Caenorhabditis elegans: one gene and its partners. The protein of the gene in region 1 purifies or fractionates together with the protein of each later gene. This does not show direct contact. Each region holds a gene or a part of one and is shown in the gene's direction. Other genes may lie near its edges. The genes, in order: vars-1, pfkb-1.1 and fbxa-12.

What was found.
Region 2: the proteins of vars-1 (region 1) and pfkb-1.1 fractionate together in Caenorhabditis elegans (co-fractionation; one large-scale study listed by BioGRID). This does not show direct contact.
Region 3: the proteins of vars-1 (region 1) and fbxa-12 fractionate together in Caenorhabditis elegans (co-fractionation; one large-scale study listed by BioGRID). This does not show direct contact.

Annotation. Positions count from the first base shown.
Region 1 is NC_003283.11:8,026,813-8,037,808, forward strand, and holds vars-1 (valine--tRNA ligase), read left to right. Parts: upstream 1-4,598; 5' UTR 4,599-4,643; coding exon 4,644-4,732; intron 4,733-4,774; coding exon 4,775-4,851; intron 4,852-4,897; coding exon 4,898-5,019; intron 5,020-5,064; coding exon 5,065-6,063; intron 6,064-6,248; coding exon 6,249-6,370; intron 6,371-6,415; coding exon 6,416-7,076; intron 7,077-7,176; coding exon 7,177-7,308; intron 7,309-7,356; coding exon 7,357-8,091; 3' UTR 8,092-8,213; downstream 8,214-10,996. Other genes in the region: F43H9.4 (Glycine N-acyltransferase-like protein), read left to right, coding at 1-103, 952-1,093, 1,150-1,361, 1,477-1,585, 1,633-1,694, 1,743-1,905; CCCH-type zinc finger protein oma-2, read left to right, coding at 2,697-2,734, 2,783-2,938, 2,987-3,208, 3,253-3,400, 3,446-3,662, 3,708-4,108; algn-12 (Dol-P-Man:Man(7)GlcNAc(2)-PP-Dol alpha-1,6-mannosyltransferase), read left to right, coding at 8,300-8,437, 9,478-9,610, 9,821-10,198, 10,245-10,348; ZC513.14 (T20D4.11-like domain-containing protein), read right to left, coding at 8,512-8,703, 8,748-8,915, 8,962-9,054, 9,104-9,226.
Region 2 is NC_003279.8:5,126,843-5,137,264, forward strand, and holds pfkb-1.1 (6-phosphofructo-2-kinase domain-containing protein), read left to right. Parts: upstream 1-4,677; 5' UTR 4,678-4,679; coding exon of another isoform or gene 4,680-4,697; coding exon 4,698-4,755; intron 4,756-5,061; coding exon 5,062-5,187; intron 5,188-5,241; coding exon 5,242-5,344; intron 5,345-5,400; coding exon 5,401-5,467; intron 5,468-5,524; coding exon 5,525-5,668; intron 5,669-5,716; coding exon 5,717-5,977; intron 5,978-6,484; coding exon 6,485-7,078; 3' UTR 7,079-7,263; downstream 7,264-10,422. Other genes in the region: mat-1 (Cell division cycle protein 27 homolog), read right to left, coding at 1-124, 174-345; prp-31 (U4/U6 small nuclear ribonucleoprotein Prp31), read left to right, coding at 1,008-1,097, 1,172-1,284, 1,333-1,450, 1,499-2,692; Y110A7A.7 (Fungal lipase-type domain-containing protein), read left to right, coding at 2,937-3,146, 3,204-3,320, 3,383-3,694, 3,857-4,026, 4,076-4,205; Phosphatidylinositol-3,5-bisphosphate 3-phosphatase mtm-1, read left to right, coding at 7,925-7,964, 8,033-8,104, 8,148-8,254, 8,310-8,528, 8,869-9,039, 9,085-9,266, 9,435-9,919, 10,358-10,422.
Region 3 is NC_003281.10:2,215,132-2,225,508, forward strand, and holds fbxa-12 (F-box domain-containing protein), read left to right. Parts: upstream 1-4,576; 5' UTR 4,577-4,665; coding exon 4,666-4,718; intron 4,719-5,442; coding exon 5,443-6,058; intron 6,059-7,027; coding exon 7,028-7,234; 3' UTR 7,235-7,310; downstream 7,311-10,377. Other genes in the region: C39B5.14 (Fungal lipase-type domain-containing protein), read left to right, coding at 1,814-1,964; srd-65 (Serpentine Receptor, class D (Delta)), read right to left, coding at 7,352-7,539, 7,588-7,666, 7,709-7,987, 8,032-8,172, 8,226-8,322, 8,676-8,869; fbxa-38 (F-box domain-containing protein), read left to right, coding at 9,672-9,778.

The DNA of each region.
Region 1 (10,996 bases):
TTGAGATTAATGGTACTTTCCCAGCTACAAAAACTTCTTTATTTTCAAAAAATGTTAATGGAACTACTTATTGGCTTGCAAATATGACAAGTCTGTATGAAAGGTTAGTTTATTGAAGTGAAGTAGTGCGTATACAGTTCAGATTCAGAAATTTCGATCAGACTGTTTAGTAAATTTATTAGGGTAATTCTAAATTTTTTTGTATAGAAAACTGAACAGGTAATCCAAATTCAAATGTGTTCCATTTATTTTGATACAAATATAGGTGCCTATAAAACAGGCTTACCGCCTGCCTAGATAAAAACTATTTTTCAAATTAAAATATTCAGACGAGTTACTTTTTTTTTGCGGAATGTGTATTGGTTTACTTGGTTTCTAACGTACCGCTAACCAACTTAAACTGAAAATTCGAGGAAAATAGGGAGAAGAATACTGTAGATATATAAAATTTCTACAAAATTTAAATTCTTTTTACCAAAACCCAAAAATTTTCGAAAACGAACGAGTTACTGTACGAAGTTTGTATATATGCCCGCATAAACCTAGATAAGTAAGGTTAGAAAGCAACTTGAAATTTTCAATGTAGAGAATGTATTTGACTTGCCAACAACTTTGCCATTTCCTCCCGTTTCAAACTACAAAAACATGAACTTTCAATACATGGGACAATTACTTTATAAGTAGGTACACGCGACCCTAAACTTTGTTCACTTTGAAAAAAAAGTGAATTCCGTTTTAAATGTCCATGGCTGACTACATTTTTCCGTATCTTCACTCATGTTTTTCCGATTCGACCGTAATATTTGATAAGATCAAACATTTCCATGACAATCCATTCCTAAACCAGTTTTTCTTCATTTTCAAAAACATTTTTCAGTATCACTAAAGACCTTTTCCCACCTTTTGCTATCTCTTTTTTTCAATTCGAAATTGACCTTCGCACCTTTTCAGAGACCGTCAAATTCTGACACACGATGGAAAGTTTCGAGAAGAAGACTTTCTGGCGGTTTTTGATGAATTCTGTAAAACAAATGGATTGTTTGCTGGCTCCAATGCTCCATCAACTGTAGCCGAGAAATGTTACACTAAAGCGGTAATACACAATGAAAACAGAACAAAGGTTAATAGATAAGAAACGTTTGATTTTAGATTGAAAAGTACATGAAGAAAAACAATATTAATGCAGAGGTGCAAAACAAATCAACACACTTTTTTGCAATGAATGAAAGTCAAATTTTCAAATATAGAAATTATGGTGATACAACATTACCTGATGGATACTCAATTGATATACCTGAATCAACAAATGATGTTATGAAGATTGTAGGATCATCTATCACACCAAATGCAAAATTAGTAGAGTGAGTTTTTGGATCAGGAAATTAAAAACCAACAGTACTAGATTTATATCATTTTCTCACAAAATCGAGAAATCGTAAAACAACAGTTACATGGAAAAATAGGAATTTTTTTCAGAGAAAAACTTCGACGGTTCCCATCGCTCTGCGTTCGTAAAGGCGACGAACTTGTTGGATTCATTTCTTCAGAAACTCACGGAGCACTTGCTCATTTGCATGTCTTTGATGTGAGTTTTACTATTTTCAAATTGAATATTTTCAAATCTGTTTTTAGGGGCATCGTGGTAAAAATCTTGGAGAGAAGTTGGAGATTGGAGCTGCTAAAATGGCTATTGAGTGAGTGATTTTTTGACAAAGGACTGTGGAAAAATGATAATATTTTAGAAATGGAATGCGTCCATGCAAGTTCATCGACACAACAAACAGTTTCTTCTTGGAAAAAGCAAAAAAGTCAAAGTTGATGGATGTTGTTGAGTCCAATGGAACACCGCTAGTTTTCGACCAAAATGTTTATTCCCAGGCGTCAAATTATGGAATGCACAAGTGATTTTAATAGGAATACAATGAACTTACAATAAATCAAATATACATGTAAATATTGAATAAAAATTCGAATACCTTCCAGCAAGTATATTTGCAAAGTAATGTTCTTTTACAGCTAGATTTTGGTCAGACAGTGTTGTTGAAAATTTTTTAGTCGAGAAAATCTAGTTATTCGCTGTTTATGAGTTACTTTTTCAGACAATTACACAATTTCCATGCTTGCTAAAAAAAAATTATTAGTTACAGTAACCTTTAAAGGCGCAGCAGCGGGGAGTGCACATCTCAAACGAGTGTGACCGTAGTCATTGGTGAAAATTGGCAACATTTTCTTGCAAGTTTTTTGACTTTGATTCAACCATAAATTTCAGACTTAATTCTAAACTTAAGTATTAAAAAATAATTATTTGATCTTATTTAGCGCGCATTGCCGCCAAACATTGACTTTTTGTTTCGAAATTTTGGGACAGAGATGGTTTTCTTCAGTTTTCTTTTGTTCAACAACATTTGGTTCTGTTCATTCATTTATTTCATTCAGAAGGATTTTGGCCCGTTTATTTGAATTTTAAAAGAGCTTATTTCTGAATTACGTCGCTTAAAACAATAATTTTATACCGTTTTGGCGCATTCGTTTTTTCTCGTTAAAAACTTATTTCTTTCATTCTTTAGACGGTTGTTATTCATTGCTCGCGGAATCTTACCATTTTTAAAATTTCTTTAAATTTCAGGGAATCAATTAACCGAGCACCCCACGCCTAATCACTAACCACCCATTTCCCCTGCACTACTAACGAAATAATGGATATGCTCAAGGAAAATGTTATCCAGAATAATGAGTGAGCCACTTTTATCATAGTTTCTCAATTTTAATTTTCTTTTTTAAGGGCTCGTACAGAGTCGAGTGTTGAACCATCGCATCCCGATATGATGGAGACTGTTCCGGAAGAACAGCAAAAACCGATTTCTCATATCGACGATTTGCTTTCCGAGACCGCTAACCTGATGGCTGTCAAGGAGCAGCTTCTCAAGGAGATTGCTGAGTAATTCTATAGGATAAATGGACTGTTTCTTAAATTTTATCTTCTCAGAAACGAGCATATTCATTCGATGCAAATGAGAGCTCTTCAAAATCTTCCACAGGAAGCTATTCTCCCACTGCAATATCATGCTGATCCAAGACGCCGTCACCGAATGCAAAAACCGGAATCGTACAAGACTGTCATATGTCAGGCTTGGTTGGAGTCGAAGACATGTGCTTTCGCGGAGAACTGTCGTTTTGCTCACGGCGAAGAGGAGCTTCGTCCATCTCTGTTGGTTTGAACATTGAATTAAGATTACACAACATATTTTACAGGATCGAGGCACGTCAAAACAATAAGTACCGGACGAAGCTCTGCGATAAGTACACTACTACTGGGTTGTGCCCATATGGAAAACGCTGTCTTTTCATTCATCCGGACAATGGACCAAATGCATACATTCGAGCCGATAAATTGTTCGAGGTAAGATAACTTTTTAATTTTCCACTTTAATCAAATCTTCAACAGGTTTCGCAACGTCATGCTTTGGCCGACCTTCGCGATCAAATGGAGCATCATATCATGAATGGAGGTCGTTCTACAGCCGGCCCTCAACAATTTGATATGTTTGCAAGGCCATGCACACCAGATGAGCCAGCAGCAAATATGCCATTGGGTCCAACCCCAGTTAGCATTCGTGGACCACGATACGAGTTGCCATCGAAGAAGCCACTTGAGACTGAGGGTATGAAAATTGAATATTGATGATTAATTCAAAATAATTTTACAGAAGCCGGGAATCGCCCACCATCAAGCTGGCCGTTGGATCCATCAACTTTCTTCGCATTGGATAGTCTGAATATGGCAACTCGTCCAATCAGTCCGTTTGAGTCTATGCTTATTGGAGCAGCCGGGAACATGCAATACTCTATGCTTGGAAAACAATCAACACCGGGAGGAGTTTCGGGATATTCTTCCTCTGGATCAACTCCGTCTCAAGATAGTGATTCGTCTCCACTCACAGCTGCTTCTGCTGCTGCAGATGCTGCCTGCCAAGCCAACTCGGAGTCTGCTCAGTCTATTCTTCTGAAGTCTATCAACAATCCGATGATTGGAAACGAGACAACTCTTCCAATTCCTGGACTTGATCAACTTGCCATGGACATTGCCAAGCACCTTGAATTGTGGTGAATAACCACCTCCTTCCCCATCTATTTATACATTTTGTCAAATTGCCATACGTTTTTATGTCCCATACTAACTATAATAACGCGCGCAATTTGTAAATATAATAAGCTCAATGTTCCTGTCATATAGAAAGCACGCTCGCTCCCCCCATCTCTCGCAGGCTCTGAAACTAAACTTGAATTATTTTGCTGCATTTTATTATATCGGATATCATTGCATGTATTTTCAATTCCCTCCAAATATAAATTGCTCGTATCCTCTCCCCACACTAACAATCAATAAACTTTATCGAATGTCAATCAATGTTTTTGAAGACCATCTGGAAATAACGTTTTTTCACGAAGATATCTGATTTTCAATTATAGAATTGCAAAATAATTTCTGAAATGTTTCGTTTGACAAAAAAATATTTTTTAATCTTCCCTCCAATTAGTTTCGCGACAGGGCGCATTTGCTTCGTCCAGACGAGCGTTAATTTTTCAACAGATTGAGCGCATTCTTTCTTTTAAATTATTGTTTGTGGTTTCAGGTGAAATAAATGGGTAAATTGAATCGATTAGCACTTTTTCATCGTTCAAGAAGGCAATGTGCTTACTCACCGACAATTATTACACGTGAAAGTAGTAGGTAAACGATAAACTAAGAAAATAAAATAACTAATTTTTTCAGCTCCTTTAACATCGACGAGGTAACACAAAATTTTGAACAAAGAACAGAGTTTGCCGCTGCAAATTATCGAAAGAATGGTCAGATTTCCTTGATAATAGTTCTAGGCAAAAAAATATTTTTCAGGCAGTCTATTTCGTATGGTTTTACCCCCGCCAAACGTAACTGGTAAACTGCATTTGGGACATGCTCTAACAGTTGCAGTGGAAGATGCTATTTGTCGACACCAGAGAAATCAGGGAAATAAAGTAAAATTTCACGAAAAATTAAGATGCTTATTTTTATGTTTTCAGGCCGAATGGATTCCTGGATTTGATCACGCAGGAATCGCCACACAAGTAGTCGTGGAAAAAATATTGGCAAAAAATGGAAAGCGACGACTTGAGATGACACGCGAAGAGTTTGTGAAAGAATGCCATTTGTGGGGTGAAAAATGCTCATCTGAAATTCGACAGCAATTGACTCGAATGGGAGCTTCTCTCGACTGGACTCAATCATATTATACTCTCGATTCAAAATTTTCCGAAGCCGTCACAAAAGCTTTTTGCATTCTTGAGCAAGAAGATTTGATTACACGTGGCAAACGATTAGTTCATTGGTGTCCAACACTATCATCTACATTATCGAGTCAAGAAGTAAATCGAATTGATGTTCCATCTGATGGTTACATCAATTTATCGTCGTCAAGTGGAACACGGAGAAGAGTGAAGTTCGGTCAAATGCATGTAATTAGATACAATCTGGTAGATTCTGAATCTGAATTCATTGAAGTTGGAACAACTCGCCCAGAAACTTTGTTCGCGGATGTGGCCGTAGCAGTTCATCCAGAAGATGATAGATATTCAAAGTTCCACGGAAAACATGTTTGGTCTCCAGTAACACCGGGAAGGAAACTTTTCGTAATTACTGATTCAGCAGTTTCCGTGGAAAAAGGAACGGGAGCTGTAAAAATCACACCATCCCATGATGCTCTTGATTACGAAATTTGGAATCGTTGGATATTGAATGCTGGACAGAATACAATCGAAGAGTTTGCATGTATTGATGCTGAGGGAAAAATGACAAATTCTGGTGAAGATTTTGATGGAATGGATCGATTTGAAGCCAGAGAAAAAGTGATTCAAAAATTGTCAGAATTGGGAAACTACAACGGACTTATGAAACATGAAGGTGCACAAGTTAATATTTGTTCTAGAACTGGAGATATTATTGAGCCGAGACTCACAGAACAATGGTTTTTGGATTGCAAAGATATGTTCGCCAGATCAGCTGATGCCATAAAATCCGGAAAGGTACACTTTTTACAGCAAAAAAAGATTCGTTTGAAGATGTGGAAAAAAAACTGAGAATCTTAAATCCAAACCGCCGAATTTTGTAAGGAAACGTTCTAAAAATTTTTCATAAGTTTGAGGTCTAAAAAGCAGTCACAGATTTTAGTACACCACCGTAAAAAACCAACACAACAATGATTTTGCAGATTGAAGTGTTTCCGGAATATCAATCACACAGATTGGCTGACTGGTTTGAAAATCAAGAACCATGGTGTTTAAGCCGGCAACTTTGGTGGGGACACCGAATTCCAGCATATAATGTTCCTGGGTAAGCAGATAACTTGTTCACTAAAAGTAATACGATTAATTTCAGTCAATCGAAATGGATGGTAACTACAGACGAAGAAGAAGCTCGACGAGAACTTGGTGACAAAATGCAACAGGATCCGGATGTTCTTGATACTTGGTTCAGTTCTGCATTGGTTCCACTCGTCAAAAATGGATGGCTCGAAGGTGCCCCAATTCAGACGCCTTCGTTGAATGTTATGGAGACAGGATGGGATATTTCTGGATTTTGGGTTGCACGAATGATAGCTTTAAATATGAAATTATCATCTGGAGAGACACCATTTGGAAAAGTAGTCTTACATGGATTGGTTCGAGATAATGAAGGCCGAAAAATGAGTAAATCGCTGGGAAACGTAATTGATCCATTGGACGTTTTGGATGGTATCACATTTGAAAAAATGATTGAAAGAGTGAAATCAAGTGCTCATGAAAAGGAAGAAATCGATAATGCTGTTAAAGATCTAACGAAAAGATTCCCAAATGGAATCTCCAGATGTGGACCAGATGCACTTCGTTTTGCACTTTTGAAGTATGATGTTCTATCAACAGATATTCCAATCGATGTTTCAAATGCTGCAATTGAAGGTCTTCACTTCTGTAATAAAATTTGGAATTTGGCTGCATATTACGATCAGCTTGCTGAAAAGTGTGAAGTCATCAAGGATGTTGATTCAGATCGACTTGTGGTGAGTAGTATAAAATAAGATAACAGTTGTTTCTAAATTTTATTAATTTTTACATTCAATTATCTAAAATATATCTAAACACAAAACGTTTATTTTTCAGGACGAATGGATTATGGCTAGACTTTCGACTACAGTTTCCACTGTCGATGCTCACATGAACAAGTTTTCCCTCCATTTAGCTCTGTCTACACTTCATAAGTTCATAACTTCGGATATTTGTGATATTTATCTGGTAAAACTATTTTCCTATCTCGTAATATTAAATCTTCAATGATTTCAGGAGTCCACCAAAAAAGCTTTATGGAATAATGATATTGCTAGAATTCGAGAAGCAAGATCTATACTTCAAAGAGTTCTACAACCGACTCTAGTTCAACTCAATGCTTTTATGCCATTTGTTAGTGAATATATTTATGAACGGATTTTCAAACGAGAAACTGGAAGTATCCTCTTTGACGTCGTCAAGCCATCGCTTTTTATTTTCCATAGAAATGAAGAACTGGAAGAAGCTATGAAATTGATTACTGCAATGATGGCTGCTATTCGATCTACTCGTCAAACACTGCAACTTCCACAACGAATTACCTTTTCTGGTATTTTAGAAATGGCGCCAACTGACACATCACCTTCGGAACTTCGAATATTAGCCGACGAAGTCACACAAACTTGTGGTTTTGAATTGCAAAAAGTGTGCAGAGAAGTTGATGAAGATATCAAAAAAGATCACATGGCTTGCCCAGTTCCAGGACATGATGCAAAATTGTGGATGAGAATCGATGCTGACTGTAAAGAAATGTTCATTTTGAGTCTCAAACGACAACTGGAAAAGACAAAAACCCGTCAGGAACAGTTTCAAGCAAGAATTGCATCGTATGAAGCAATTTGTGAGAATCCTAATTCCAAACCATCAAATGTAACAAAAACAAAACGGAAAGCTGAAAATGCAAGAAAAGTCGTCGAAAATGCAAAAGAAGAAGCTGAACGGATTAAACAGCTAATTTTGAATCAAAGTTAGATTTATTTGTAGTCATAGATATTAGTGAGATTGTTAGAATTGTTTTCCTTTGTATTTTGTTTTTTTCTGTTAATTTTTGAAATGTTTTTTTAATAAATAAATAAAATTTCAGTTTATTATTCAATTCTAGTGTTGTTAAAGCCAGCATGGTTTCATCAATTAATATATTTTTCAAAAATTGGTTCAGATAAAAACCGAAGTTTTCAGAATGGAAGGGACGGAATGGATAGTCATTATAGTCACTATCATTCACATTATTCTGGCACCAGGAACAAAAGTTGAAGAATCATTTAATGTTCAAGCAACTCACGATTTGATGTTTCATCTTCCTACTAATCTTAGCAATGTAAATTTTACACAAAAATTTAATTTTAATTCGAAAACAAAAATCAATAATTAGTGAAAAACAGTTTTCAACAATTAAGATATAGTTTTAGTTATGTTATCAGACTTCTTCATTTTATCATTGTCGCACGATAATCCTTGATTCATTTTGGCAAGATATTGACTGATATTCGTTGCATCGTCTTTTCCACAAACTTTAGTAACTTCTGACTTTATGCATTCCAGAGAATTGTTCATCAAATCACATTTCATTTCAGTAGTCATGTTCTAGAGAAAATATCAACCTACTCGAAACTTTTAATTTTACTAACATTTTCAAAAAATGCTTTGAACGATTTCTCACATTGAGTTTCACTTCGAGCATCCATCTTTTCTTTGCACTTTTGAAATCCAGTTTCTAGAAACGTGGAATATCCACAAAATGCTTCGAGGAATAGTTTCAAATTATGAGCATTTAGGCAATCAGTGGAAAAACATTCCTTAAAATTATCGTTGTTGTTCAACATCTTAAAGATAGATTCCTACCAAAACTACGTTACAAGAAGATGTGAAATTCTCGCGATCCTCTACCAATTTTAGATTGTAATTATCGACACTTGATATAAGTTCAGAAAGACCCTGAAAGCATGCTTTAACTTTTAAAAAATCTGTTAGCTAGGAACTTTACCTGAATACATCCAAAAACTTTAAAGAATTCTTTTGCATCACAAATAGCGTTTTTCGGAGCAACTTTTTCAAGATTATTAGAAAAAACCACTGGAGCAAATAAAAAGAGAAGAATTACAAACATGGTAGGTTGAGAATTGACAAGCAAACGATAGGTTGATAGGTTGATAGGTTAAATAGTGAATTCAAGGTTATTGAATGCGTTTAAAACTCTGATCTTTTGGCATTTGACGAATAATTGACGTCTACAGAGGAGGTAAAATTGATAAAAGTATAAACTATCACGATATGACTAGACGATGAAAATGAAAGTATCAAACGATATTTAACAAAGTTTGAGTTCGAGTTCAATTTTTCCAAAAAAACTGTTTTCAGTATGATCACTCACAGTTCCCTGGTGTCGTTCCACGAACATTCATTGGTCCAATCAGTCTTGCAATCCTATCTTCTCCGATGTCATTTATCTTCAGATTCTGGGCAATTCCAAAAATGTGGCAGCTACTTCTTAGTGAGTCGTTGGATAGTTTTAATTGTAACATCAAATACTCTTGCACATATCAGAACATATTTTCATACGCTTAATTCCTGAAATAGTAATGAAAACAGATATTCAATTACGAATTTGAAATCATGTCTGGGAAAATCCGGAATTATTTTAGCATCAACCAAAAAATAAAGCAATAAAAATTTAAAAAGTTATAAAATTACTTATTTTCAGTCCGCGCAACTCTTGGATTGATGAATGCGATGGCGTTTCTCTACTTTGCTCGATCCGTTAATCGAAAATTTGGAAGAGAAACTGCAATGTATCTACGATTGATTATGTGCACTCAATTTCATTATATTTTCTACATGTCACGCCCACTTCCAAACACATTTGCATTGATTCTTGTAATGATTGTATTCGAGAGGCTATTAGAAGGAAGATATGAAAGTGCTGTCAGATATGCTACAGCTTCAGTGATCCTGTTCAGATGTGAACTTGTCCTTCTTTACGGCCCCATTTTCTTGGGATACATGATTTCTGGACGTCTCAAAGTATTCGGATTCGATGGTGCAATAGCTATCGGTGTTCGAATTGCAGCAATGTGTCTAGGTAAGTACCGAAGAAATAAGTCTGAGTATGATATAATTAATTTCAGCTGTCTCCATTCCAATCGATTCCTATTTTTGGGGACGACCTCTTTGGCCAGAAGGAGAAGTCATGTTCTTCAATGTCGTTGAGAACAGAAGCCATGAATATGGTGTAAGTTTTCAGTTAAGAAGTCGCCGAAAATTTTTCTGATTTTTTTTCGGTTTTATCAGAGATGATTGAAAAATCGAAAAAAAAGTTTCCAAAATTAACAAACAATTACAAAATTTTATCTACTTTCGTTTATTACGGAAACACAAAATACTGAGAACGCGTATAGAGCAACATATTTGAAAATATCTTGTAGCGAAAACTACATTAATTCTTTAAATGACTACTGTAGCGCGTGTCGATTTACGGCCTTGATTCTCGAAACGGATTAAAATAATTTGTTTATCGATAGAATATTGCAATTAAGGAAAAAATGAGAAAATTATACAAAGAAATGAATTAAAATTCGAAAATAAATGTATTTCAAAAATCGAGCCCGTAAATCGGCACAAGCTCTACAGTAGTTATTGTTGTGTATTCGAAGGCGAGACGAGGAGAGAAGACGAGTAGTTTATTACATTACTAAACTAAGGAATAAATAAGTTAGTTCATAGAGTTCACGTTGTACGATCTTCTTGGCCACGTCGTGGGTCAATACACGTTGATACCCAACAGTTATTTAAAGGATTACTGTAGTTTTCGCGCCAAATATCTTGCGCAATACGTATTCTCACAATTTTTTGTTTCCGTACTACTTTGATGAGAAAAAAT
Region 2 (10,422 bases), on another chromosome or scaffold:
GCAAGTAGATAGAAGAGTCTAGCTCCGCTCAATTTAACTGAACTAAGGAGACCATAACATTCCTCTTTCTTATTGGCTCTATACAGACAATCAGCGTATAGAAGAAGAGATTCGGAGTTGTTGCCTGAAAAAAAGTTATTGAAATTAAAATATGAATTAAAAACGAAAACCACTTTTATCGGTTTCGTAATGAAGCTCGGCTAGAAAAATAGCATCATCAAAAGCGTAACACTTCATCATTTCATGAATCTCATCTTCAATTGTTCGGTGTGCGTCCGCTGGAAAACGCTCGAACACCTCTCTCAATTGAGGCCGCACAGCTACAGACGCAGCTGATTCTTTCATTCTCTTCGCGACCTGAAGAAACGCTAAATAAACTATTAAATCGAGAAAAGCGGTGATATTCAAGAAAAGAGATATCGGCGAACAAAAGGGAAACGAAAATCAATTTGACCATTTCTCAAATACATCCCTTAGGTTATTGTATCGATTATACTGACAATTGAACTCAAACTTTAAAAACTAAAAGTGCCAAGAAATCGAAGAAAAATTGATCAGGCGTTCACATTAAATGAGGATCATTTGAGTTTTATCGATTGGTTTCAAACAAAGCTTGGAAAAAATGCAATAGTTTGCCAGCAGGCATGTGAACGTTGTATGAATCGATTGCCGAGAAAATGTCATCGAATTGAAGAGTAGATCATTTCCAGCGAACTGCAGCAATGAAGAGAAACGAGAAAGACGGGGAACGGCGTACAACGTGAACTTTTGCGCCCGACTACAGCCGGCGGCGGCCGGTCTTCAATTGTCGTCAGATGAGGTGCATTGCGTGCTTTTGTGTTTGCGGAGTCGCATACCGTACTTCGCAATCCTAATGTTTTTCGAAATTGTTTTTTTTCTTTTTCTTTTCTTTTTTTCTTTTTGCCTTGTTCATTTTTTCTTTTAACTAAGAGAATTGAAATACTATTTTAATCTAAAATTTCAGTTAATCTTTAAACTACCTAAAAATGTCGTTGGCTGAAGAACTTATGGCTGATTTTGACGATGACGACGATGAGGATTTGGAAGACATTCCAGATCTCGGAGAAAACCTTAAGGTAAATCGAATTTAAAATTTAAATTATTTAAAATCTAGAGTTTTTGCAGCATCTGATAAAATTGTAATTTTCAGGGCGTCAAAAAGGAAGAACTCGATGATGATATTGAAGAAGCAACAGAAGAACCGATGGATACAACTAAATATGCATCAGTGCACGATGTAGCAAAGCTTGCCAGATCTGATGAGTTAGTTTTAGTTTTGTTTTAATATATAATTTTAAAATACTTTTACAGATATTTAGCACTAGTGAAACAATTGGAAGTTGAACTGAAACGGCCTCAGGATGAAGTGAAGGTGACAGCTCCTCTTGAAGCAGATCCACAATACAAGCTTATTGTTAAATTATCCCACGTAAGTACATCATGAAAAAGAAACAAAAAAGGCAATGATTAATTTCAGGTCGCTGCAGATATCGACAACGAGATCAATGTGATTCACAAATTTGTTCGTGATAAATATGAAAAGCGCTTTCCTGAACTAGAAACGCTTGTTCCTAACGCGTTGACCTATTTGGCTACTGTACAGTTACTGGGAAACGAGATCAACAGCAAGGTAGTGAAAGAACAACTCGGCGGAATTCTAGATGCCTCAACATGCATGGTGGTCAGTGTAACAGTCTCAACAACACAAGGAGTCAAGCTTGAGCCAAATGAGCTGGAAACCGTCATGGATGCTTGTAATTTGGCTGCTCAACTTCATGTCAATCGTCTCGAAATGCACCAACTTGTAGAATGGCGAATGGCTCTGATTGCCCCGAATCTGGTTGCTTTGCTCGGCTCAACTACTACTGCCCATCTAGTTTCACAAGCCGGAGGATTGTCTCCACTAGCCACAATGCCATCATGTAATGTACAGGTTCTCGGAAAAACGAAAAAGAATTTGATTGGATTCTCAACAGTGTCCACAAATCCACATCATGGTTTTATCTATTTCCATCAGTTGGTTCAAAAGATGCCTCCAGATTTGAAAAACAAAGCGGCCAAAATTTTAGCTGCAAAAGTGACTTTAGTTGCTAGAATTGATGCTCAACACGAGTCATCCAACGGAGAAAAAGGCGCGGAATTTCTGGCGTTGGTGGAAAGTAAATTTGAAAAAATGTTGGAGCCACCACCAGTGAAAGCTAACAAAGCGCTTCCAAAACCTTTGGATAAGGCAAGTAAAAAACGTGGAGGACGTCGAACAAGAAAGATGAAGGAACGCCTCGGAATGACGGATCTTCGGAAAAGTGCCAATCGCATGAACTTTGGAGAATTGGGAGAAGATGTAATGCAAGAGCACATGGGATTCGATATTGGGCAGGTGAAGACCGGAAATGTGACTGGTGGAAGAATCCGAACAGCCGCAGTGGATCAGAAGACCAGAGCAAGAATGTCGCAAAAGATGATGCGGCAGATGGAGAGACAGAAAGCAGCTGGAGGAATGACAAGTATTCGAAGCAAAATGGCGGGAACTGCGTCATCTGTCACGTTCACACCAATTCAAGGTCTAGAGATTATCAATCCAGCTGCACAAGAACAGCAACAATGTTCATCGACTTCAAACTATTTCTCCTCGTCTGGAAGTTTTGTTAATATTGATCGGATGACTTTATAATATATTTATTTGTTACTTTCCTCTTCCTGAATTCTGAATTCTTGAATCTCAAACCAAATGAATCGACTTTTTCATTTATATAAAACTCAACAACTAAATACTAACCAATTGGTGGAATTTCTCCCCTCTTAAATATATCTTTACACTTATCCAATCTAACAACTTTTCACCTCGTAAACAACTCTCAATCCTCCCAATTTTCCTCTCCAGGTCTCAGTGATTTTCGATCGGAATTTCGACCCATATGCGAAACGGGTTCGCTCTTTTTTCATGTCTTTTCTTCTTTCTAGCTGATTGCAAGAAAGTAAATCGAGATTTTGACTATGAATTGAGCAAGAGAACTCTGGAATTCGCAGCGGCTGCGTATTCCATCGATCCGGAACCTTGCATCTCGAAAAACAATGCGACTTTATTGTTTTTCAAAAAGGTGGAGTGCGATTATATGCGTGACGAGGTAAAAGATCATGAGATCTTTAAATATTCAAAAATCATCTGATTTAATTTTTTCCAGTGCTGGAGTGTGATTGCTGCCGACAACGACACAATATTCGTCAGTTTCAGTGGAACAAAATCGAAAGAGCAGCTGGTAACTGAACTTATCGAAAGCATTGGTCGGCCAAAGCACAAAGTAGGCTCATGTTTCAAGTGTTTGTCTGAGTACTCACAGAGCAAAGAAAACTTATTTTACAGTTGCACAATGCTGGATCAGTTCATTATTACTTCTACTCTGCTCTAAAAACAATGTGGTCACCAATGGAAAAACTACTGCGAGGACTGAAAGACTCACTTCCAGATCATAAAATTGTGTTCACAGGACACTCATTGGGCGGAGCTATTGCAAGTATTGCATCGACTGTTTTCGTTAGAAACTTTCCCGAAACGTCGAGTCGAACCTTTTCAATCACATTCGGACAGCCTAGAGTTGGAAATCTCGAATATGCCATGACACATGACAAATTAGTTGCTGGAGGAAGCTGGAGACTGATTCATGGAAGAGATATTGTGAGGGAGACTAATATTTAAGATTTTTTTAATGCTTTATTAGGCTCAAAATGCACCCAAATGAGCGAATTTCGTAATGAAACTTCTCAAACAAGTTCGAAATTTTTTTCTGGCGGTTCAAAATATCCTCTTTCAAAAGACTATTAAAAGTTTTTTTTCTAGGTTGCACATATTCCGTTCTGCGTGGAAAGCTATGCCAGATGGTGTATACCATTCTACAATCATGGATCCTATCACCATGGAGTCGAAGTCTGGTTTCCTGGAAACATGACAAGTCAAGATACGTTCAAAGTTTGCACCGGGACTCCATTGAACGAGGACAATTTGTGCAGGCAAGTGACAGTGATCGAAATCACGTGATAAGAAAATCTTCTCTTACAGCAACACTCATCGCTACTTTGACATCAACGATCACCTGTTCTACTTTGGACACCACGTCTCAGATTACGGTGTTAATGGATGTGTAGACCCACCGGATGATGAACCATTAATAAATAATGAAAATGTTTAAATAAATTTAAAAATGTTGATTGAATTGCGATTCTTTTTCTCGTCGTTTCAACTGTTGAAAAGTCGGTTTGAGAGAATATTCTCGCTTCCGTGTGTCACGTATATTTTCTCAGGACTTTCTTTTTATTGGAGAGAGAGAGGAGGCGCCAAAGAAGATAAGACACCCGCGAACTCGAGTGTAAGAAGAAACAAGGGAGGAGAAGAGAGAAAGAAAGGGATGGTTGAACACAGAAAATGAATTGTTGGTTATTTTTCTTTTCGTTTTCGGTTTCCTACTTTATTGTTATGGAAGATTGTGTCTACTTTCTTCCCATTCATAACACGAACCTTCTTTCTTTCTTTCTCTCTATCATTGCCTGTTTTTCTTTCTCTCCGGCGCAATAATATTATTATTGATTTCTTAATATTTGATTAAAATGATAAGCCTTTGTCTTCGGAATCATTTTGATAAGAGACGATATCATTTCGGCTAGAAATGTTGCAGGAGAACGAGATGCCTGGGCCAGCCGGCGTACCGCAGCGCAAAATGACGTATTTCGTGCCGAAGAGTGGTCAGTTTACTTTAAAAGAGGACTTACCATTTTTTTTTGCTCTTTTAGACTCGAAATGTGCCCAAATGAGCGAAATTTAAAAAGATAGTTTATTTCACATAATTTCAATTAAAATTGATTTCCGTCCGTTTCGACATGGAAAATTTGGCAAAATTGAAGATTTTAGCTAAAATCAAATAGCCCATTTTTTTTCGAAATTTTGAGCCGTTTTGGACGCATTTTGAGTTGAAAAAGTGCATAAAATTGATCGATTAGCCCTATTTTATTTTCATTCCACATTGTCTTCTCAAAAATCTCAATTTTCAGACAACTCAAACGAGCAGGTTCGAGTTCCAAACGTCATCGCACTTGTCGGACTGCCGGCACGTGGCAAAACATACATCTCACACAAACTGTGTCGTTACCTCAACTGGATTGGAATTAAGACCAAAGGTTGGTCCTGATTCGATTATATGTACGACATGAAACAAAAAATCAAAATTACAGCATTCAATGTCGGCGAGTACAGAAGAAGAGCGTGTAATTTGGAAGAAGAAGGCGAAAATGAGTTCTTCTCGCCAAACAACGCCAGAGGTCAAAAGATCCGAGAGTGAGATTTTACGAAACTATGAAGAAAAAAAATTAAAAAAATTCCTGAATTTTCAGTGAGTGCGCGAAATTAGCCATTGAAGATATGGGAAGGTACTTGGATAACAAGGAAGGAGAAGTGGCGGTGAGTTACAAAGGAAAAAATTTCAAAAAAATATATAGACATAAACTTTTTATTCAGATTCTCGACGCGACAAATACTACAAGAGACCGACGAAAGCTTCTGATGGAGTTTTGCAGAAATATGATGCACGAGCCACCATTCCGTGTCTTCTTTGTGGAATCTGTTTGTGATGATCCTGATATTATCAACTCGAATATCACGGTAACCTTTAGATCTTCAAAATAATCACCTTAACCCGCATATTTTCAGGAAGTGAAAATCAATTCGCCAGATTATAAAGGAATAATGTCTCAAGAGGAAGCAAAAGAAGACTTTTTGAAGCGTATCGAGAACTATCGAATGCAATATGAGCCACTTGATGAGGATCATGATGAAGAGCTGAGCTATATCAAAGTTATCAATGCCGGAAAATCCTTCTATGTTCACAATGTTAATGGTCATGTGCAGAGTCGTGTTGTGTATTTCCTGATGAATATTCATCTTCTTCCAAGAAGTATTTATTTGTCAAGAGTAAGTTTAACAAAAAAACCGAAAAAATTTTGCGCTAAAAATAGGTAACAGGTCTCGACGCGAAAATTTTTATTAAATGCCAAAAAGTGTGCGTCTTTACAAACTACTGTAGTTTCATTTTTTTTGCTGCCGAGTTTTCATTGAGTTTCAGTTTTCTCACGATTTGCTGTAAAAACGTTTTTATTTTTTATTTCACTTTTTGATAAATTAATATTTTTTTACCAAACAAGCTAAGAGAGCCCGTAAAAAAACTTGAATTTTAACAAATCGTGAAAAAAAAAGAAAATCAATGAAAATTCCGCAGCAACGAGAGTTTGAAATTACAGTATTCTTTAAAGGTGATGCCTTTTTTCATTTAACAAAAATGTCGTGTCAAGACCGGACACCGGTTTTTTTGGCACAAAATTCCGTTTCTGGGATATAATTCATTCAATTAACAGCACTGAGAATTATCAAGTATTTTTAAACTTTTATAGTTTAAAAATCCCTTTAAAAAATTTATTACAGCATGGAGAAAGTGAGTACAACAGAATTGGTCGTCTTGGTGGTGATTCCCCACTCAGTGAAAATGGTTTAAATTACGCTGGAAAACTTCGCGAATACTTCGAAAAAGAAGATTTGGACGATTTCCGTGTTTGGTCATCTCAAAAGATTCGTGCCGCCCAGACAGCTTCTCATCTGAAAGATCTCGCTGGTCATACAGAGTTCTGGAAATGTCTTGATGAAATCGATGCCGGAATATGTGAAGGATTAACTTATGAAGATTTCGAGGCTCGTTATCCGAAACAATTCGCTGAAAGAGATAAGGATAAATATCACTACCGTTATCCAAGTGGGGAATCATATGAAGATCTGGTTGCTCGTCTGGAGCCAGTTATCATGGAGCTTGAGAGACAATCCAATGTCCTTGTCATTTCTCATCAAGCAGTTCTCCGTTGCATTCTTGCCTATTTTACTAACAAAAATCGAGATGATCTTCCATATCTGAAGGTTCCATTGCATACAGTCATCAAGCTCACACCAAAAGCCTATTCCTGTGAGATTGAACTTTTCAAATTCGACATCGAAGCAGTCAATACTTACAGAGAGAAGCCACAATAGGAAGTATTTATTCTTTATCTAGCCAATTATCTATGCCAAATGTACATTTATTTTTTCATACAAGTTCCCATTTTTATGTCGGGCGTTTTTTTTGAGATTGCATTTTCCCTGTTTTTGAACAATTGCCTTTGAATTTAAATACGTTGTCGTTTATGTGAGAGTTATAAAGATTACATCGATTTCAATTTTATGGACTGATTGCAATATTTCTCGCTGTGTCATTTTCTACAATAATCTATTTTTAATGTATTAAACGGTCAGGAGCCACATTAAAAATTTAAAAGAAAACCAAACAAGAACGCGTAACTGAGTTGTTGTTATTTTAAAAGAAAAATCAATTCATATAAAAATTAATCCTTAAAGGCGCAGAGATTTATTCAGATGGGTCCCGACGCGCAAAAAAGTTTATGGTAATTGTGTTTGAATTTTTGCGGCTGCTTCCTCGTTTATTTTTCTTGCATTTTTCAATTTATTAAGGGAATTTTGTCGTTGTTTAAAACCATTGTATGAAAAAAACACAGGAAATCCCACATTTTTAATGGAAGTAGTTTATTTGTACTTTGAAAACTGATTTTAAACATATTCTGACAGAAAAGTGAAAAGAAAACGACATCTGAATAAATCCATGCGGTTTTAAAAAGGATTGCCAAAATATTGTGAAGTTACGATAAAAACAAAGCTGAAGCAAGTTGTATTTATTTTCTGCACATACCTGCGTCTCTTAGTGGCCTTCTTCTCTCTCTCTCTCTCTCTTTCCCAATAATCGTTCCACTATTCGGCTTTCAAACATTCTCATACACTTTCAAAAATCAATTTACAGGAAAATTGATCGAAATGTCAATATCAATGGATGACAGAGGGAACAATAGTGGAGAAGTTGGAGAATGTGAGTCATCACGAACTATTTCGTTATGAAATTTCGTTATTTGAATTCAATTTATTTTATCATTTCAGTTGCCAGTTCATCAATGATACAAGAATCAATAGATCTCAAATTGTTAGCCGCAGAAAGTCTTATTTGGACAGGTTGGAATTGATTTTTTAACAATTATAATGTGAGGAATTACAGAGAAAAATGTGACATACTTCGGACCACTTGGAAAATTTCCAGGTAAAATCGTAATTACTAGGTATCGAATGGTTTTTCTCGTTGGTGATGGTGGAAAAATGTATGAGGTTTGTGATTAAAATTTTAAAATTATATTTTACAAATATAAACAAAAAATTTCAGCAATGGAAGCTCGATATTCCACTCGGACAAGTGTCTCGGATAGAAAAAGTTGGTAGAAAGACGACGAGTGTTGCCAAACGAGGCGATGATAATTATGGATTCACAATTTATTGTAAAGATTATCGAGTTTATCGATTTACATGTAATCCAGCATCGAGTGATAGAAAAAATGTTTGCGATTCGTTGAATAGATACGCTTTTCCGCTATCGCATAATTTGGTGAGTTTTTTTTTTAATTTTAATAGGGGGCTTTTGGCTCTAGAACTATTGGAAATGAAAAAAAATTCTGATATTTTTTTTTAATTTACGAAAAAATAAAATTAATTATTCATTTATTGGTTAGCAAAAAAATTAAAGTTAAAAAAACACGGTATCGTAATTTCACAAGTTTTCGCCTTAGAAAGCCGCACGGATTTCTTCAAATGGGTCTCGGCACGCAAAAAGTTTATTGTGTAGATTTTAAACAATCAATGATTTATTAAAAACTTACTTGACAACCAAGAAATAGACAGCCTAACTTGAAAAACAACATTATTCAACCAAAAAAGGAAATTTTCAGCCAATGTTCGCCTCTGTACATGCAGCAGAAACACCTAGACTTATGAAAGATGGTTGGAAAATTTATTCAGCTGAAAAAGAATATGAACGCCTTGGAATCCCGAATTCACGTCTTTGGAAAGAAGTGGACATTAATAAAGACTATAAATTTAGCGAAACTTATCCAAGAACTGTAGGTTAATGATGGTTTTCTTTTTTAAAAATAATTTTATTTCAGTTTGTAATTCCGACAGTATCTTGGGAGGAAGGAAAACCATTTGTAAAGAAGCTCGGCGAGTTTAGAAGCAAAGAAAGAATTCCCGTGTTGAGTTGGATTAATCAGACAACTTTAGCTTCAATTTCACGATGCTCACAGCCAATGACTGGAATTTCTGGAAAAAGAAGTGCTGAGGACGAGCGGTAGGTTTTATTTTTATTTTTAATGATAATAAAAAATAATCGGAATATTAATATTCTAATATGCTGAAATGTCACAAAAGAAAAACGAAAAAAAATATTTGGAAAATCGTTTATTAAGATATATTTTTTAAAGCATTCAATTTTTCAACAAAAAATTATATTTTTCAGACATCTCACGAACATTATGAATGCCAATGCTAATTGTCGTGAACTTCTGATCCTTGATGCAAGACCAGCAGTCAATGCAAAACTTAATAAGGCAAAAGGTGGAGGTTATGAAGAGAATTATGTCAATGCTCCTCTAACATTCCTCAATATTCACAATATTCACGTTGTTCGGGATTCATTAAAACGATTGCTAGCCGCGCTGATTCCACGTGTCGACGAGAAGGGATACTACAAAGCGTTAGACGAATCGAAATGGCTCAATCATGTTCAGAGCATTTTGGAAGGAGCAGTAAAAGCTGTCTTCAATGTTGACACTGAAAAACAATCAGTATTGATTCATTGTTCTGATGGTTGGGATCGAACTGCACAGCTGACGTCGTTGGCAATGATTCAACTCGACTCCTATTACCGTACAATTGAAGGATTTATCGTTTTGATTGAGAAGGAATGGTGTAGCTTTGGTCATAAATTTGGAGAGAGAATCGGTTCGTTTTTGATAGATTTTAAAAATCATGCAATTAAAGTTGCAGTAGCGTGAATGAGGATTTTGCTTTTTTTAAAAATCCATTCAGAAAATTTTTAAAAAAATCAAAAAAATTGCGAAAAAAAATCCAACTTAAAAAACTAGATTTTTCAGTTCTGGCGAAGTTCCCAGTTCTCATCTTGGGGAAAATTCAAACAGGAAACTTACTAGGGAACACGATAACTATAAGTTATACTTATAGTTATCGTGTTCCCTAGTTAGTCAAAATTGATAAATCGAATTTTTTAAAATTTGAATTTTTCATCCGTTCGCAATTTTATTTCGTTTTTCTGTTGTGGTATTTCTGAATTTGAGAAAAATTTGGAATTTTTTGAAGCTAACAACTATAAAAAATATTATTTGAGAACCAAAAATCTTTGATTTTATACTTTCCGTTCAGGTCACGGCGACGATAACTACAGCGATGGAGAACGATCTCCCGTATTTGTTCAATTCTGTGACTGC
Region 3 (10,377 bases), on another chromosome or scaffold:
ATTCAACAAAATTTCCAAGTTCAGCTCGTTGAGACCTTTCAAATAACACCCATATCGACTAGAATCCGTCATCTTTGAAAAAAATTCCCCGACACAGCTGAAGTCATAGCTACAGTACCCATCGTGGCGGGACCCGAATTTTCAAAATGTGCGGGACCTAGGCAATATAGGTGCCATTTAAAAGATGATAACATAAGAAATGTAAATTTTGTGATAAAAATTTTTTTCTAAAATTCTGCAAAAGTATGGTTTTTTGGGTCTTGCAACGAAAACTATTAAAAATCCGCTAAATCGAAAATTCAACAAAATTTCCGAGTTCAGCTCGTTGAGACCTCTCAAATAACACCCATATCGACTAGGATCCGTCATCTTTGAAAAAGTTCCCCGACACAGCTGAAGTCATAGCTACAGTACCCATAGTGGCGGGACCCGAATTTTCAAAATGCGCGGAACATAGGCAATATAGGTGCCATTTAAAAGATGATAACATAAGAAATGTAAATTTTGTGATAAAAAATTTTTTTCTACAATTCTGCAAAAGTATGGTTTTTTGGGTCTTGCAACGAAAACTATTAAAAATCCGCTAAATCGAAAATTCAACAAAATTTCCAAGTTCAGCTCGTTGAGACCTCTCAAATAACACCCATATCGACTAGGATCCGTCATCTTTGAAAAAGTTCCCCGACACAGCTGAAGTCATAGCTACAGTACCCATAGTGGCGGGACCCGAATTTTCAAAATGCGCGGAACATAGGCAATATAGGTGCCATTTAAAAGATGATAACATAAGAAATGTAAATTTTGTGATAAAAAATTTTTTTCTACAATTCTGCAAAAGTATGGTTTTTTGGGTCTTGCAACGAAAACTATTAAAAATCCGCTAAATCGAAAATTCAATAAAATTTCCGAGTTCAGCTCGTTGAGACCTCTCAAATAACACCCATATCGACTAGGATCCGTCATCTTTGAAAAAGTTCCCCGACACAGCTGAAGTCATAGCTACAGTACCCATAGTGGCGGGACCCGAATTTTCAAAATGCGCGGAACATAGGCAATATAGGTGCCATTTAAAAGATGATAACATAAGAAATGTAAATTTTGTGATAAAAATTTTTTTTCTACAATTCTGCAAAAGTATGGTTTTTTGGGTCTTGCAACGAAAACTATTAAAAATCCGCTAAATCGAAAATTCAACAAAATTTCCAAGTTCAGCTCGTTGAGACCTTTCAAATAACACCCATATCGACTAGAATCCGTCATCTTTGAAAAAAATTCCCCGACACAGCTGAAGTCATAGCTACAGTACCCATCGTGGCGGGACCCGAATTTTCAAAATGTGCGGGACCTAGGCAATATAGGTGCCATTTAAAAGATGATAACATAAGAAATGTAAATTTTGTGATAAAAATTTTTTTCTAAAATTCTGCAAAAAAAATTTTTTTGGGTCTCGCAACGAAAAAAAAATTAAAATTCCGCCAAATTGTAATTTCAAGAAATTTTACGAGTTGAGCTCGTGTAGACCTTTCAAAAGACACTTATTTTGCCTAGGATCCGTCAATTTTGAAAATTTCGGTCCTCCGACACAGCTGAAGTCATAGCTACAGTACCCATCGTGGTGGGACCCAAATTTTTAAAATGCGCGGAACCTAGGCAATATGGGGGGTCATTTTAAAGGTTTTAACGCCCTGAGTTTGAATTCAGCAGTGAAAATTTAGGAATTTTGATTTTGAAAAAAAATTCCGAAAAAAATTTCGAATTTTTTTTGAAATTAAAAAAAAAACGATTTTAATCGTAAATTTTCTGTATTTTGCAGGTACAACAACAACATGACCACCACTGATCCATACCACATTTGTGCAGAAGCCGATGGCCTATACTGTAGTAATAGGCAACTGGATACCGATATTCCCGATCATTTGACATATTTCGGCGTATTTTTCCCAGATTGGCATTTTACATGTTAATTTATTGATTTTTAAATGTAAATTTATTCAATTTATTGTTGCAGAATTTTTGTTTCGAAAAACACAAGAAATTCCATTACAGATGTTTGAAAATAAAATAAAAAGGAATTAGCATTTTCTAATTTCAACCATCAAATGTGAAGCATTATTATAACGACGAAGTTTGAAATTAGCTCCACTGCTTGTAAACTCAATATCCATTTCATCACCAATAGTAAAATCTGGTTGAAACAATCTTGCAAATTCGATCAGATTTCCAGGGTCAAACCAAATAATGCAACGCCGGAAACTACTTCTTTTCAAGAGGTCCTGAAAGTTGCAACTTACTACATATATCTGTGGTGTATGATATATATGATGTGCCTATATATTTATGACTCCATATATATATATAGTATATATATATATATATATATATATATATATATATTTCTATATATATATATATTTATATAAATATATATATACAGATAATTTTTTCCACGGGAATTGACGGGAATTCAAATTTTCTGATAATGAGAAAAAAAACTATCACAGTTGCAACTTACATCTCGAATTTTAATTGCGTCTTCTTGTGGAAATTGAACAATCGTTGTACAGAACTCTTCGAAATGAAAGAAATGATCAATTGCTGTCAGGTAACAATTTGTAACACCATAATACGTGGATCGGAAGCTTTTTGCACATTTCCACTGATCCAGCAAAGTGATCCTTTCAAAATCAAGAACCTTGCCAATGAGCAAACAATTAATATCGTCCAGCACGTCCGCTTCAAAACACGGCAATATTGAAAGAATTTCGTTGAATGTTAGGTATAGAAGATTTATTTTCTTCACGTGAACGCTTCCTCCGTTCTCCAAAACATTCACAAGAGATTTGAGAACCTCGTTTTTATTTCTTGTAAAGTTTTGCAGAACAAATGAAGATGCATGGTTCATTGCTATTTTCAGGTCCTTGAATGCCAACTCCATGAAATCTTTTTCTTGGATAATAGTCTTCCGTCCTTTGTAGATCACAGCTGAATCAGTGTATTCCAGTTCAATCTTATCAAACCGTATTGAAAGGGTTTCGCTCATAACGTCCAGCTTGATGGTGTCAAAACGGATTCCAAGCTTGTCAAGGGCGGCTCTCAAGCTTCGACAGACTTTACGGCAGGTTAGTCTGGAATTTAAATAGTTTTTGATTTAACACTGCAAGTAAAGTTTTAAGTCTAAGCCTACCATTTTAGCTCCGCCTATTTTTCAGCCAATTAACGTTTAGCTCCGCCTATTTCTCAGCCAATCAACGTTTAACTCCGCCTATTTTTCAGCGAATCAACGTTTAGCTCCGCCTATTCCTCAGCCAATCGACGTCTCAGCCAATCAACGTTTTGCTCCGCCTATTTTTCAGCGAATCAACGTTTAGCTCCGCCTATTCCTCAGCCAATCGACGTCTCAGCCAATCAGCAATTAGCTCTGCCTATTTCTCAGCCAATTAACGTTTATCTCCGCCTATTTCTCAGCCAATCAACGTTTAAATCCGCCTATATCTCAGCCAATCAACGTTTAACTCCGCCTATTTTTCAGCGAATCAACGTTTAGCTCCGCCTATTCCTCAGCCAATCGACGTTTAGCTCCGCCTATTTCTCAGCCAATCAGCAATTAGCTCTGCCTATTTCTCAGCCAATTAACGTTTATCTCCGCCTATTTCTCAGCCAATCAACGTTTAAATCCGCCTATATCTCAGCCAATCAACGTTTAACTCCGCCTATTTTTCAGCGAATCAACGTTTAGCTCCGCCTATTCCTCAGCCAATCGACGTTTAGCTCCGCCTATTTCTCAGCCAATCAGCAATTAGCTCTGCCTATTTCTCAGCCAATTAACGTTTATCTCCGCCTATTTCTCAGCCAATCAACGTTTAGATCCGCCTATATCTCAGCCAATCAACGTTTAGCTCCGCCTATTTCTCAGCCAATCAACGTTTAGCTCCGCCTATTTCTCAGCCAATCAACGTTTATCTCCGCCTATTTCTCAGCCAATCAACGTTTAGATCCGCCTATATCTCAGCCAATCAACGTTTAGCTCCGCCTATTTCTCAGCCAATCAACGTTTAGCTCCGCCTATTTCTCAGCCAATCAACGTTTAGCTCCGCCCACTTTTCAACCAATCAGCATTTAGCTGCACCCAATTCTTAACCATTCAGCGGAGGAAAGCAGCCCCTTCTGATTGGCCAGAAGTTGCTCAACATCATAGTTTTTTTCGTAGTTTTTAAGAGTTTCGAGATTATTCTGTATATTTTGAAATTTGAAAATGAAAAATTCGCATTGCTGTTAAAATGCAAAAAAACTTACCGTTCAATGGGCTCCAGCTTTTCAAAACATGATTGGCAATTTCCAACGGCAATTCTAGTAAAGTAGGCATTTTCGAAAGTTTCTTTTTTCAAGTAAAAACCTGAAGTTTTCAGTGTAAAATTTGAAGAAATTGGGAAGTTTCGAGTAAAATGAAATTATACCAATGTGTGACTGTTATCAGTTTAAATATTTTTTCGGGAAAAACGGATGGAGTCATACTTTTTTTACGGAGGAAATGTTTAAATACCATGCGTCATTGGAGTTTGTATAATAGAGAGAGTGAATAGACGTTTTTGGTTCATTTTTACGTTTGAATTTACATATAACTCCAGTAAAATGTCCAAGTTATCGCCAACTTTGCTCACTATCAGTATGCCTTTGGAAATTTCTGATGAAATTTTGTCAAAATTGCCTGCAATGGATCTGTAAGTTGAAGTTATAATTTCACAAATTTTTCCAAATGAAAGTCAAACTTTATGCTAAAAAATTTGAATTTCCCGCCAAAATGTTCAAAAAACATTTAATTTGAATTTCGCGCCACAAATTTTTAAAAATGTTGATATTAACGGTGCGTCAAAATTTATTTGTTCAATAACAAAATTAAATTTTATGCCAAAATTGTTTGGAATATTAAAATGTTTTAAAAATTTTAAATTTATTTTTGTACCCAAATTTTTTAAATATTGATTTTGGCGCCAAAATTTTTATTCTTTAAAAAATTGAATTTCGTGCCAAAAATGTTTGAAAAATTAAAATTTGAATATATATTTTTTTAAGATTAAAAACGTTTTTTTTTTTGAGAAATTTAAATTTGAATTTGGCGCCAAAATGTTTAAAAAATTAAAATTTGAATTTTCCGCCAAATAATTTTAAAAAATTGAATTTGAATTCAAATTCAAAATTTTGGAAAATTTTAAAATTGAATTTGGTTCCTAATTTTTTTATGATAAAAATTTGAAATGTGCTCCAAAATATTTTAAAAAGTTCAATTTGAATTTTCTGCCAAATATTGTTGGGAAATTAAAATTTGAATTCCGTGCCAAAAATTTAAGTTTTTTTCATGATTATATCTGATCTTTTCGGTACCAAATAAGTGTTTCCAGCTCAAAGGAGTCTTAAAATCTTTTTAGTAAAAATGCAATGTTCCAGACTATCCTGCCGTAAAGTGTGCAAAAGTCTGAGAAGCGCCGTTGACCAATCAGGAAACCATCTCAACAGAATCTCATTTGACATTTGTAATGATTTCGTTGCGATGGACTTAAACGGAAGTCAAATCAAATATACCGATGTTTCTGGTACTGCATACGTGACTTACAAAGGACGAGAAACAAAAATCGAAGAAGACAATTTCATGCGAGCAGCGTTCAACGACTTGGCGAGCGTATTGAAAAACGTGAAGAAGTTCGTTTTTCAGAACTATTCGAAAGTAAAACAACAAGCCATCACATCGTCGATAAATGATATGTTGGAAAATAAATGTATAGCCGTAGAGTCAGTAGTACTATACAACTTCCCACATGATGATATTTTGAACATCATTTCGAGTTGTCAAGCTGAAGTGCTCAAAGATATTGTATTATGGCACCGCGACGGAGTCGAGTTATCTGAAAGAATCACTTGTCTGGACCAATGGAAAAAAGCACGAACTTTGCATTGTCGGTTTTTGTTTTGTGATCTAGTACCAATTGAGCACTTTTTTCACTTTGAAGAGTTCAGTATTCAAATTGACAATCTCTCAATGCCAAATGCGATTAAAATTCGAGATGTGAGTTTTTCTGATTTTCACATGTATGTGGTATATAGTAGTAGTAGTAGTAGTAGTAATCAAGGGTGTCGGTTTTTCGTTTTTCGGTTTTTTGAAAATCGAAAAATCGAAAAATTTCGTTTTTCGTTTTTTCGATTTTTCGATTTTTTTTTTTTTTTTCAGAAATTAGCTTCATATTTTAGCCATTATTCTTCTTTTTAGAAGAAATGTGTATGTTTTATTATAAATTCAAGCAAAATTAGATTTAAAAAATCATATTTTAAGGATAATTTTCCGAAAATCTTTTTCGATTTTTCGATTTTCCAGAGAATCGAAAAATCGAAAAATTTTCGATTTTTCGGTTTCTGAAAATCGAAAAATCGAAAATTTTCGTTTTTCGATTTTCAATTTTTCGATTTTTCGATTTTTCGATTTTCACTGAAAAAAATTAAAAAATCGAAAAAATCGAAAAATCTAAAAATCGAAAAATGACACCCTTGGTAGTAATAGTGTGTAGTAGTATATAATTTGTATGTAGTATGTATGTATGTAGCATGTATTTATGTAGTATGTAGCATGTATATATGTAGTATGTAGTATGTAGTATGTATGTATCTAGTATGTAGTATTAGTAGCAGTAGTAGTAGTAGTATATAGTATGTATGTAACATGTATGTATGCAACATGTATGTATGTAGTATGTATGTATATAGTATGTATGTATGAAGTAGTGGTGTGTATGTATGCATGAATAACCTAATGAAATTTCTCGAAACCTTCTGAAAAAAGTTGCGGTGGTTTAAAAAATTACCGAAATTTGAAATTTGACCGACTTGTCAAGCACTAACTTTTATGAAATTACCATATAGCTATCTTAAGTTTTAACTTGATTTAGATACATTTAAAGTCGACGGATCACCAGATTTCGTAAATTTAAGTAAACCGAAATCAAGTCAAGACATCTTACTTGTATACCCAAATTTTTTTCAGGACCTCATGAACAAAACTACATTCAAGACCTGCACTATTTCAACTCACCATAATGTGCAATCAATTGAACTTGCAAGAATATTTCAACCGGACTATATGGGCGACATTGACTATAACATCAAATATTCTAATAACACTGGCACCTTCGAAATTTCTTTCAAATCATCACTTACTATTAGAGCACGGTTTGTTATTAAAAAATGCTGACAACAAAGGGATCTTGTTTCTATATTTTCCAAACGACCAAAATTATTCATATGTGCATTAAAAAAGTTTAATAAAAAACATGCTTCATTTTTGAAAAAAAAGCCCATTAATAATTTTTCAAGCAACACTGTTCACTGCTGAAACTCTTGTAGCCCAACTACCATCAGCAGACGGCTTCCGCACGAAGAAAGCCCGAACAGCGTTCCTGTACGGTGTAATGAAGTAAATTTGAAAAATTGGATCCAAGAAGCAAGGAAGTGCTCCTAGACAGGTTATTGTGTACTGAGAGATCAGGAATTGATGGCCTAAAGGTGATATATACAAATTATATTGGTTTGATAAGCTTCCCTTACCAGTGACTTGAATCAGAATAAATAAAAACACTACGGGGATATAACTAAGCATCGGCAGAAAGATTTGAAAGTTCAGGCCCTGGAAACCAAATTAAGCTATATAACAAAAGCTTACGCCTACAATAATCATTTTCCGAAACATAACACGTGTAGCGTCCGATGTGTTTGGGGATACATGAGGTTTAAGAAGCTTCATCGCCTGATGCTTCCAGTAGCTGCCGATCATTGGAAAATACAACGTGACAAGGAACATAGCCACTGTAGAATTATCGAGATAAACTTTTTGAGCTTGGCTGAACCCTCCAAAATTCAGATACGGAGTGTAGTCATACTCAGGGTAATGGGCTAGCGTTTCATTGTAGACTGCCAGATGGTCGGAGGGAGGAATCAAGGTAGAAGTCTGTAATAATATGGATTGGCTAGCTTTGTACGACGTCTAGCTACCAGATAGGCTATTATGAACAGGTAATGCCAAGAAAAAATCAAGGTGTTACGGCCAATTTCCTGGGCGTTGATCAACTTCAGACATACGGTGCGATAGTAGAGAGTGTGCAAGTTGATCAAGTTCACTGTTAGTACAGAAGTCTGGAAATTTGGAGGACAAGAGGGCCTACAGGGCTTGAAAGAGGATATCTCACCGCATATGCTTTATAGCACGTCGCACAAAACGTTGGCCCGAGAAACTTACAAAACCCATCACACAGCAACCCCATGGAATTCTCATTATCAATATTTCTTTAAAAAATTTAACTTAAAGGTGGAGTAGCGCCAGTGGGGAAATTGTGAAAAACCACTTATTTGATCCCAAAATGACCAAATATCATGATAAAACTTTTCAAAAAATTTTTGAAATTTTTTTATTTACTGTCAAAAAGTGGCAATTACTCAGTTTTTGCCACTCATAATTTTGGAAGTCGAGAAAATTTTGGCAATTTGCAATTTGACCGGAAATTATGAAAAATCTAAAATTTTTTGGAGTGTTTTATGATGATATTCGGTTGTTTTGGATCATTATAAGTGCATTTAGACAAAATCCCCACTGGCACTACTCCACCTTTAAAACCGCACAATCTCAGATTCTCGCAAACCTCGTTTGTGTTCCAAACGCCAATGTTAAAGAAACAAATGTAGCCGTACATGAAGCGTAGAGAAAATATCTCATGGCTTTTAAGACGTTGGTGGTAAAGTTGTAGATCAAAATGTACATGGTTGAAAACAGGCATAAGCTGAGTAGGTAGAACGGTGGCCAGTAGAAGCGGAACAAGTATTGGAGAATGTCCATTTCCAAAAAGTTGGGTTATGAGAATTTGAGCTGGAGATGATTTTTAAAGAGAAGCGAACCGAAAAACCGCATGCATCAGCAACCACGAACTCAAGTTTTTGCTAATGAAAACGATTCTTGATTTTTCGGGCGTTTGATCTTCGAAGTCATGTGTTGATTACAAACTTTTAAAGAAAAAATGGGTTATGGATTTAAATCAGCTACAGGAATTTTAAACATATTATATTTTCTGAAATTTAAAGATGGAGTAGCGCCACTGGGAAAATTATTAAAAACCACTCCTTTGGTCCTAAAATGACCAAATATCAAAAGCTCGTATTTTTCAAAATTTTGGCAATTTGCCAAAAACTTTGACCGGAAACTATGAAAAATCTAAAATTTTTTGGAGTGTTTTATTATGATATTCGGTTGTTTTGGATCACTATAAGTGCATTTAGACAAAATCCCCATTGGCGCTACTCCACCTTTAAAGGAAAAGTTTTTGATATTTTTTCAGCAAAATTATTGGTTTTTTCTTTGAGATGTAACAGTTTCCAAGTGAAAAAACACCAAGTTTACTTCAATTTTTCAAGTTCCCAGCCAAAAATCATAGATTTTAAATAGGTTTTTGATATGGAAAACATACCAATTTACTGATTTCCTGTTCTTATCACTCACATTCCTTATCAATCAATTCTAAGATTGTCCGCCGTGATTTCGAACCGTAAGTCAATATCTTCTTTTTTATTTCAATTACCCATTTTGTTGTACATTTCCCGTCTTAACTTTTATACCCCCAGTATTAAATACTTTATTTTCCAATATGTCTCTTCCCGGCCAAGATGCTCAATGTGCAAAAGGGGTTTCCTTGCTCAATCTGCCTCTGGATGTTGTGAATCAAGTTTTGGAAAAGTTGGAGCCCATGGAGTTGTGAGTTACTTATTTTTAAAAAATTGCGAAGTTTTCAAATTTTCTGAGAAAAATATTTTGGCTTGAAATTTATAGGAAAACAATTGATTTGGCGGGGAATTCGAATTTTTCGCAAAGAAAAAAATTTGGCGGGAAATTCAAATTTAGCGATAAGAAATTTTTGCCAGGAAATTTACATTTTCTGATAATAAATTTTGGCATTAAATTTGAAATTTATGAAAAATATTTCGGTTGGAAATTTAAATTTTACTATGAAAAAGTTCTAGGGAAACCAAATTTTTCTAAAAAAATTTTTTTAAACTTAAATTTTATGAAAAGGAATTTTGACGGGAAAATCAAATTTTGAAAGAAAAACAGTTTGGCGGGAAATTCAAACTTTCTGAGCAAAATTTTTGGCAGGAGATTAAAATTTTCTGACAAATAATTTTGGCAATTTTGGCAGGAGATTCAAATTTTCTGAGTAAAAAATTTGGCGGGAACTCAAATTTTCTGACAAATAATTTTGGCGATAAATTTGAATTTTCTGAAAATATTTCGGTTGGAAATTTAAATTTTACTTTAAAAAAATTCTGGGGGAATTTCAATTTTTCTGAGAAAAT